Linked DNA regions of Mus musculus: region 2 is reported to be linked to region 1. The links are microRNA targets in miRTarBase. Many come from high-throughput screens and were not tested one by one. Region 1 holds a microRNA gene; the other region holds the end of a gene's coding sequence.
Evidence for each region. Region 1 holds the annotated microRNA mmu-miR-470-5p (UUCUUGGACUGGCACUGGUGAGU, at 2,319-2,341, shown strand). A microRNA usually pairs through its seed, bases 2 to 8, with sites in the 3' UTR of a target mRNA and lowers its output. Matches are read on the target gene's strand: a 7mer-m8 pairs with bases 2 to 8, a 7mer-A1 pairs with bases 2 to 7 and ends in A, and an 8mer does both.

Region 1 (4,400 bases):
TCCATGCCAGCATCTGCTGTCACCTGAATTTTTGATCTTAGCCATTCTGACTGGTGTGAGGTGGAATCTCAGGGTTGTCTTGATTTGCATTTCCCTGATGATTAAGGATGTTGAACATTTTTTCAGGTGCTTCTCTGCCATTCGGTATTCCTCAGGTGAGAATTCTTTGTTCAGTTCTGAGCCCCATTTTTTAATGGGGTTATTTGATTTTCTGAAGTCCACCTTCTTGAGTTCTTTATATATGTTGGATATTAGTCCCCTATCTGATTTAGGATAGGTAAAGATCCTTTCCCAATCTGTTGGTGGTCTTTTTGTCTTATTGACGGTGTCTTTTGCCTTGCAGAAACTTTGGAGTTTCATTAGGTCCCATTTGTCAATTCTCGATCTTACAGCATAAGCCATTGCTGTTCTGTTCAGGAATTTTTACCCTGTGCCCATATCTTCAAGGCTTTTCCCCACTTTCTCCTCTATAAGTTTCAGTGTCTCTGGTTTTATGTGAAGTTCCTTGATCCACTTAGATTTGACCTTAGTCCAAGGAGATAGGTATGGATCGATTAGCATTCTTCTACATGATAACAACCAGTTGTGCCAGCACCAATTGTTGAAAATGCTGTCTTTCTTCCACTGGATGGTTTTAGCTCCCTTGTCGAAGATCAGGTGACCATAGGTGTGTGGGTTCATTTCTGGGTCTTCAATTCTATTCCATTGGTCTACTGGTCTGTCTCTATACCAGTACCATGCAGTTTTTATCACAATTGCTCTGTAGTAAAACGTTGCTTCCTTATAGACAACTGTAATCACCAATCTATGTGTATAGGAGAATATCATTATGCATCATTTCATTGGCTTTTTTAAAAATTTTGTACCAGGCATGTGCCAGGTATGCCATTTCATGTCTCTGACCTATTCAGCCTCTTATTTCTTGACCTCCACGCAGTGACATGGGTAGGCCTCATCTTGTGGCATGGCTCTCAAGGTCAGTTATCGGTTGTCCATTCTCATTATTTCTGTTCTACTTCTACCGTAGCACACGTTATAAGTACAGCAAATTGTATGTTGCATCTTTTGTGACTGGGTTAATGTCTCAGAGATGGCCAGTTTAGAACAATAGCCCCATTGCTTAGGTCACTGCATAGACTCCTGTGAATACTGTTGGACTAGATTTCTAGTTCATCCCTGAGATACTCCAAAATTCAAGTTTCTCTTCTTGTATTCTTTTCTACCTACCACCAAATCCCTCCTGTTCTCATCGCCATGCCTTCATACAGAGCCCCCCCCCCTTTCACCAATAATGTTTATTCTATTTCTCCTTCATAGTGAATTTCTTATGTCCCTTCTTGAACCCTCCTTTTTACTAATCTTCTCTGGGTCTGTGTTTTGTAGCATGGTTATTCTGTCCTTAATGGCTAATATGTACTCATAAGTAAATACATACTATGTGTGTCCTTTTGGTTCTGGGTTACCTCATTTAGGATGATATTTCTAGTTGCATATGTTTTTCTTCAAAATTCATGATGTCCTTGTTCTTAATGGCTGAGTACCACAGTTTCTTTATATTCTCCAATTGAGGAAAATGTAGATTGTTTCCAGCTTAGGCTTATTATGAATAGAGTGGCTATGAACATAGTTGAGGAAGTATCCTTGTAGTAGGGTAGAACATCTTTTGAGTATATGTCTTAGAGTGATGTAGCTAGGTCTTGAGGTAAATGTATTCCCAATTTTCTTCGAAGCTGTCGCCTTCAAAAGTAGTTGTATAAGTTTTCATCCCACCAGCAATTGAGGAGTGTCCTCCTTTTCTATCTTACATCCTTGACAGAATTAGCTCTCACTTGTGTTACTGATCGTAGCCATTCTGACTTTCTTCCAGGGTGGTGGACCAGAATAATCATTGATTCTTTATTGCAGTTTTTGTTTCTATTTTGTCTGTTTTTTACTGACTGATTCTGTGCTTGGCTTGTTCATGTTGTTTTTCCATAGTACTATGATTAATTATTTATGCATTTGAAATCTGTCTGCTTTGGAGGGAGGTTATTTTGTGTATGTGGATGCTCTGTATCCATATATTTATATTTACCAGTTCAGAAGAGGGAATTACATTTCTGGGAACAGGGGTAATAGGTGGTTATGAACCACAATATGCATTGTACCTTGAATGAAATTTACTGTAAAAAATGTGTTGGTTATCCTAAGGTAATTTTAGAATAAATTATGTCCATAGTTATTTTTCATATTCTATTTGGTCTATGATAAAACCTGAACATCATGATGGAAATGGCTGAAATAATGTCTCTATATTGAAGCTGTGGTGTGCAGTGCTCTTCTTGGACTGGCACTGGTGAGTTAAACTAAATACAACCAGTACCTTTCTGAGAAGAGTAAAGCTCATCACATTCTTTTGATGAGGCTCCTGAATCAAGATAGTGGATTATCCATAAGGACCTTGGAGGACACTTTCTAATGTTAGGTAGATTTGAATATCTTCAAATATAGGTTTCAATATGAATAGTTACGGAAACTAACATATTACGGAACCAGAGCAAAAAGAATATTAAGTTCCTTTCTATAGAAGAAAAATGTAAAACAAAGAAAATTGGTTGTTTTTCATAGAACCAACAGGAAGAAATATAACATAAAGGATATTTCCATGGTATTTTTAAATAAATAAGTTAACATTCAAAAATAAAGCTTTGTTTGAAGAATGATGAAATCAGATGGAGCAGATAAACTATACCAGTTCTCTATTGTATGTGTTGTTTGAAGGTGGTTATATTTGTCTTGATGGTATAAAATACATAAAAGTGGAACCTGTTGAATAGAAGGTGGCTTAGTTACTTTTCTATCGCTGAGACAATGCTCCATGCCAAAGGATCCAACTTAATAAAAAACCAAAACAGAACAGAACAAAGCAAACCAACAAAAAACACATTCTTATGGGTGGTGAAAAGTTTGAAGAGGTGAGCACTCAAGACTGTTATGGCAGGGAACAGGATGGTAAACAAGTGGAATGGCAATAGAGTAGTTGCTGAGCATTTACATCCTGATCTTCAGCCACAGAGCTAATTGAGAATTGCATGGCTTTTATTAAAACCTCAAAGTCCACCCCCAGTGACATAACTTCTCCAATAAGGTCTCGCCTATTTTTTCCCAAATAGTTCTTAGCACTGCTCTCATTGTGTTCCCATAACTTTGGGTCTTTATTTTTTTTCCTTGTCTGAGGAGTCATTTAGTAGGAAGTTGTTCAGTTTTCCTGGGTTTGTATGCTTTTTGTTGTTTCCGTCATTAAAGTCCAGATTTAATCCATGGTGATCTGAAATAATACAGTAATCTCAATTTTGTTGTATCTTTTGAAACTTGGTTTTTGTCTAAGGATATGGCCAATTTTCAAAAGGTTCCATGAGGTGCTGAAAAGACAATATATTCTTTTCATTAGAGTAATTTTTAAAATTAATTTATTTATTATAAATACTGTTTTAATTTAATTTTATCATCAAATAGTTTGCTTTCTCCATTCGTAGTGATTCAAAAATTTTGTTGGGCTGGCATCTGTGGTCTCTTAGAAGCTGTAAGACATCTTCTCAGGCCCTGTGGCTGTTATTGTTTCTGTTGAAAAGGCAGGTATAATATTGATAAATTATTCTTCAGATTATACCTGGCCTTTTTGTGGTTGCAGTTTTTTCTTTATTTTGTACATTTAGTGTATTATCTGTTCTAACCTATTTTGTGGGATGAACCAGAATTCAGGAGCAGTTTTGGCAAGTGGAGTTGGGGAAATCAACTCTAGAGATCATCACTGAGTACAGATCTAATGTATTGTGCATTTGCAAGTGTTTTTATACAGCTTTTGGACCAATGGGGTATTGATACAAGCTCTGGAGTAGCCAACTATCCCACTGTTGGGAGGTGCCAGGCTATTAGCATATGAAGGGACCTCCATAAAAAATGGAAAGTAGCTATGGCCCTGTTCGGCCCATTGTGAGGTTTCCCTACTTTCAGTATCCAAATAAACAAAATCAGAATTAAAAAGGGAGACATTAACAAATAAAATTGAATAAATTCAAAGAATCATTAGCTCTTACTTTAAAAGCCTGTTCTACATAAATTTGGAAAATCTTTAACAGATTGTAAGACATTTTAGAAAGATACCTATTTCCAAAGTTCAATCAAGATCAAGTAAACTATTGAAACATCCCTATAACACTTAAGGAAAGGGAAACAGTTATCAAAAGAAAAAAGCCCAGGTGGTTTTAGTGCAGAATTCTACCAGGCTTTTAAAGAAAGAGCTAATGCCAGTACTGCTCAGACTATTGCACAAAATAGAAGCAGAAGGAATACTGCTAACTAAGAAAAAGAATTTCAGGCCGATTTATCTTGTCATATTAATGCAAATATATTCAATAAAA
Region 2 (4,400 bases), not on the chromosome of region 1:
CTCTCAGTGGGGTGTCATGGTTACACATTCCAGAACAGGTAGAGCTTGGCTTGGCAGGAAACTGGTTCCACACCTACCATTTTCAATTCTGAGATTCTCCGGGGTTTTGAACTTACTTCAATCTTACCAGTTTTTCTGTCTGGTGGCACGGTCTGCTTGCTCCACATTGCTTAATCTGGAAAAAACAAAAAACAAAAACAAAAAAAAAACAACTTCCCAACATTTTTCTTTCAATAATGCCATTTGTGCTCTTTCCTAAAGATTCCTCCTGTTTTAAGTTGTTAATAATTTTATTATTCAAACAAAACTAATGCCCATCCTTTTTTTTCTGTTTCAGTACCATCATCCATATTATAACAGCATGATATAATAGCAGAAACATATTTTCTGATGCCTCTGAAAGCCGAAGAATGCTCGTTTTTGATTCCATCACTTCTCACCAGATTGAATGGAAAAAGCTCTGAAAAGTAGTTATTCAAAATAAATGGACACCTACTGCACAATAACCCAAGGACTAGGGGGCTAAAATGCTCCCCCAAGTTGATATATTGATTTCCAGTGTACAAATGGACTGAATCGCATAGATTTTCTCAGCCATTAACCATAGAATTTATGCAAAGTATATCTTTCCAAATATGGAATGCTCCAATCAGAAAAAGACTATCATTGGTTGTTGAGTTACTGACTGTCTTAGTCAGGGTTTCTATTCCTGCACAAACATCATGACCAAGAAGGAAGTTGGGGAGGAAAGGGTTTATTCGGCTTACACTTCCATACTGCTGTTCATCACCAAAGGAAGTCAGGACTGGAACTCAAGCAGATCAGGAAGCAGAAGCTGATGCAGAGGCCATGGAGGGATGTTCTTTACTGGCTTGCTTCCCCTGGCTTGCTCAGCCTGCTCTCTTACAGAACCAAGACTACCAGCCCAGGGATGGTCCCACCCACAAGGGACCTTTCCCCCTTGATCACTAATTGAGAAAATGCCTTACAGTTAGATCTCATGGAGGCATTTCCTCAACTGAAGCTCCTTTCTCTGTGATAACTCCAGCTGTGTCAAGTTGACACAAAACTAGCCAGTACACTGGCTCTGTGTAAACAGTGTGTTTCTAAAATCCCAAATGTAGGAAAAATATGCAGATGCACACATATAGGCCACATTTTAGTAATAATATGAAATATACTTAAAGAGCTTTTAAACTTCGTATTTTTATACAAAATATTTGCCTTTTACAATCATTTTCCTTTTTTTAATGTACCTATATGATACATAAAGCCAAAGATAATAATAGCGGTACTAATAAAATTTCATGGAGTTTCTCTTCAGATTTAATCTGTCCAGCTGAAGAAAATTTTTGTTGTATGTGTCTATGTCTGTGTGATTTCTTCAGAACCGTGAATCACATGAAGCATCTGGAAATGCCCTTGTACATTTTGGTGATGGCGGAGCTCAAGCCTGAGAACATCATGACAGCTCATTCAAGTAGGCTGTGCCACTAGCCCAGCACTGGCCACTTCCAGTAAGAGGAAGTGTTAAGCTGGGAAGTGGTGGTGTACGCCTTTAATCCCAGCACTTGGGAGGCAGAGGCAGGCGGATTTCTGAGTTCGAGACCAGCCTGGTCTACAGAGTGAGTTCCAGGACAGCCAGGGCTACACAGAGAAACCCTGTCTTGAAAAACCAAAAAAGAAAAAAAAAAGAAAGAAAGAAAGAGAGAGAGAGAGAGAAAGGAAGAAAGAAAGAAAGAAAGAAAGAAAGAAAGAAAGAAAGAAAGAAAGAAAGAAAGAAAGAAAGAAAGAAAGAAAGAAAGAGGGAAAGGAAGTGTTGACTTGGGATGTGCTTTTGTTCTACTTTGTGGATCTGGAATGATGGAGAAGCATCTGTGGGGACGGACAGAGCACCTGAATCTGGGTGTCTCCAAGGCCCTGGTTTAAGGCTGATTTATAAACAGGCTTAGTGTCAGACTCATATCAGAGCAGGCAAGAGATTATAATGTCACATCAGACAAAGGCAGCCAAGTGATGCTTGCAAGACAGAAACCAGCTACATGCCATTTGGAAAGTAGAATTCTCAAAGCATAACTCCAAGACATGGGCTAAATGAAATGCAAAAGTAAACTTTTGGTTATTTGTTGAACCCTGAAAAGAATCTTCCCTTGTGATTCTAAGACTTGTGTGTACTCCTGTCTTTGCATCTGTTTCATAGCTCAGGCAGAGGGTGAAGGTTGTCCAAGCCCCTGTCCCATGTCACCTATTGTTGGGGCCGGCCTGTGGCTCTCATGTCTGGGTTTGAGCCTGGGATGCATCTTGGAACTGAAAGAAAAGAGGGAATCTAGGCAGGTTGAGAGAGAAATGGAACCAAGACAATATTCTGATCAAGGTTCAACTTTAATGTCAGAGAACACGCTTTATAAAGAAGAGGGGAGGCCCATTCCCAGCTAAGTTTCTTGTGAAGTTGTCAGATCAGTCTTTTAGCAGGAACTCTCGAAAATCACAGTTCAATGTTAACTCTGGAAGATCTTGGGAAACCAGTTCTGCCTCAGGCAGGTAGCAGGTAATGGCACATCAAAGGAGAGGGATGAGAAGCAGCACAGCAGGTGGCTCTGCCTCAGTGGCAGATGGTCTGAGCCAGCCTGACTAGGCTGGAAGGAGGTTACAACCTATATTCTTTCTTCCCTTATAAAGTGTAAGCTTCCAGAGAAGTGATCACATATAAACATTTCAGGTAAGCTTGGAACCCTAGGATGTAATATTTAGCCAAAAGAAAAGGAAATTAAAATTTTAAGACCTGCCTAACCTCTTCAGTTATTAATTTCTATACTAGACAAGGTACATATGTCATGGGAAATCAAAGGTGTCCTTAACGACAACAGCAAATCATAATGGATAAATTGAGCATGTGAACCACCTCAACAAAGAGAGACTTTTAAGCCTTTCCACATGACACATGAAAGTGAACTGTTTTATTCATATTTAATTCTTCTTTAATCTGATCTGTAACCAAACCTCAGTTACTGCTCTTACAGAGGATCTGAGTTCAGTTTTCAGCACCCAAGTTGGAGAACTTTCAACTTTCTACAACTCCAGATCCAGGGAACTAAAAGCCTCCATGACACAGCTGTCATACACCCACACAGATACACACAGACACCTAAGTAAAAAAATTTAAAAATCTTTTTAAAGGGTTTGTTCCTAGACTTATCTTGTTATGCCATATTCAGTGGATATTCCTGGGAGGACTGCTCTTTTCTAAAGAGAAACAGGAAGAGTGGATCTGGGGGAGTGAGAAGAATGGGGGGAGTGGGAAGTTCAGTCAGGATTAATTTTTTTTAAATGAACAAACTTTTTTAAAAAACAGAAAAAAAAGCAAGTATATTAACTGTGATATTTGAATTTGCCAAATGTACACTGGATATACTTATACCTGTCTCACAGAGTCATTGCAAATTTTAATGAGGTGATATGCAGAAATCACCTACTACAGTGTCTGGCTCCAAAGATACATGTCATGCTCTTAGTTCCTTTCTCTGTTTAGAAATCTTTCAAGTACCTGGTTCAGCTAAGGAAATAACAAGTTTTAAGTCATTGCAGACACCTAATAACTTGACCCAGGTAAGTGAGGGAACAGTTCTTTATAGAGTAGTAGCTCCCATTAAAGCAGGCTTGGTTCCATGCCAGGAAAAAATGGAACCTTGGGTAGAAAGCAAGGAAGTAATTTTTCTTTGTCAGAGACAGGCTGACAAGCATGTCTTGAATCCCACTAGGGACATTCCACACACGGGAGGTTGTAAGGGAAAGATTGTAGTAAGTTCTTTATATGGTACATGCTCACACTAGACTAGGAATCAGCAAATATGGCCGATAGTCTGTTTTTATAAACAAACTTGTTAAAACACAGGTTCATTGGTTTATTTACTTTCTGTCACACACAAATGTTTGATCCCCAGCCTATGGCATCACTGGGAGATGAGGTCTTGTGAGAGGGAACTGTGTCACTGGGAAAATGTCTTTCTATCTCTTTACTTCATGGCCACAATAAGGTAGATGGGCCTTTGCTACCACATTGTTCCCACTGCCATAAGCCCAAGGCAGTAGGAGCAAGAGACCTCTGAAGCCTCTAAAACTATGAAATGAAAGAAAATCTTTTCCTTCTTCTACCTTGCGTTTGTTGAGTATGTAGTGATGGAAACTAATGCAGTGCCTGAGGTGGTTGCTTCTGAGCTGTAACAGCAAAGTTGAGCAGTTACAAGGGACCGTTACTACAAAACTGGCAATAGTCACAATCTGTCCCTTTACAGAAGTTTGCAAAATTCAGTATCAACTTATAGCCTACTCCTTTATGGTACTTAGAAAAATACACCTAATTTCATTTATTTTAGATTATTTCATTGTCATATAGATGAAAA

Region 2: the mRNA of Colec12 is a reported target of mmu-miR-470-5p. Seed matches in the 3' UTR shown: 7mer-A1 at 727-733.

Annotation. Positions count from the first base shown.
Region 1 is chrX:66,811,936-66,816,335 of GRCm38, reverse strand. Mir470 (microRNA 470) reads left to right here and starts at 2,311; the gene lies at 2,311-2,385.
Region 2 is chr18:9,876,651-9,881,050 of GRCm38, forward strand. It overlaps Colec12 (collectin sub-family member 12), which reads left to right. Exons shown (of 10, transcript NM_130449.2): 10 at 338-1,345. The coding sequence ends at 357. Among named protein-coding and RNA genes, the nearest start is that of Thoc1, 79 kb to the right of the region's middle.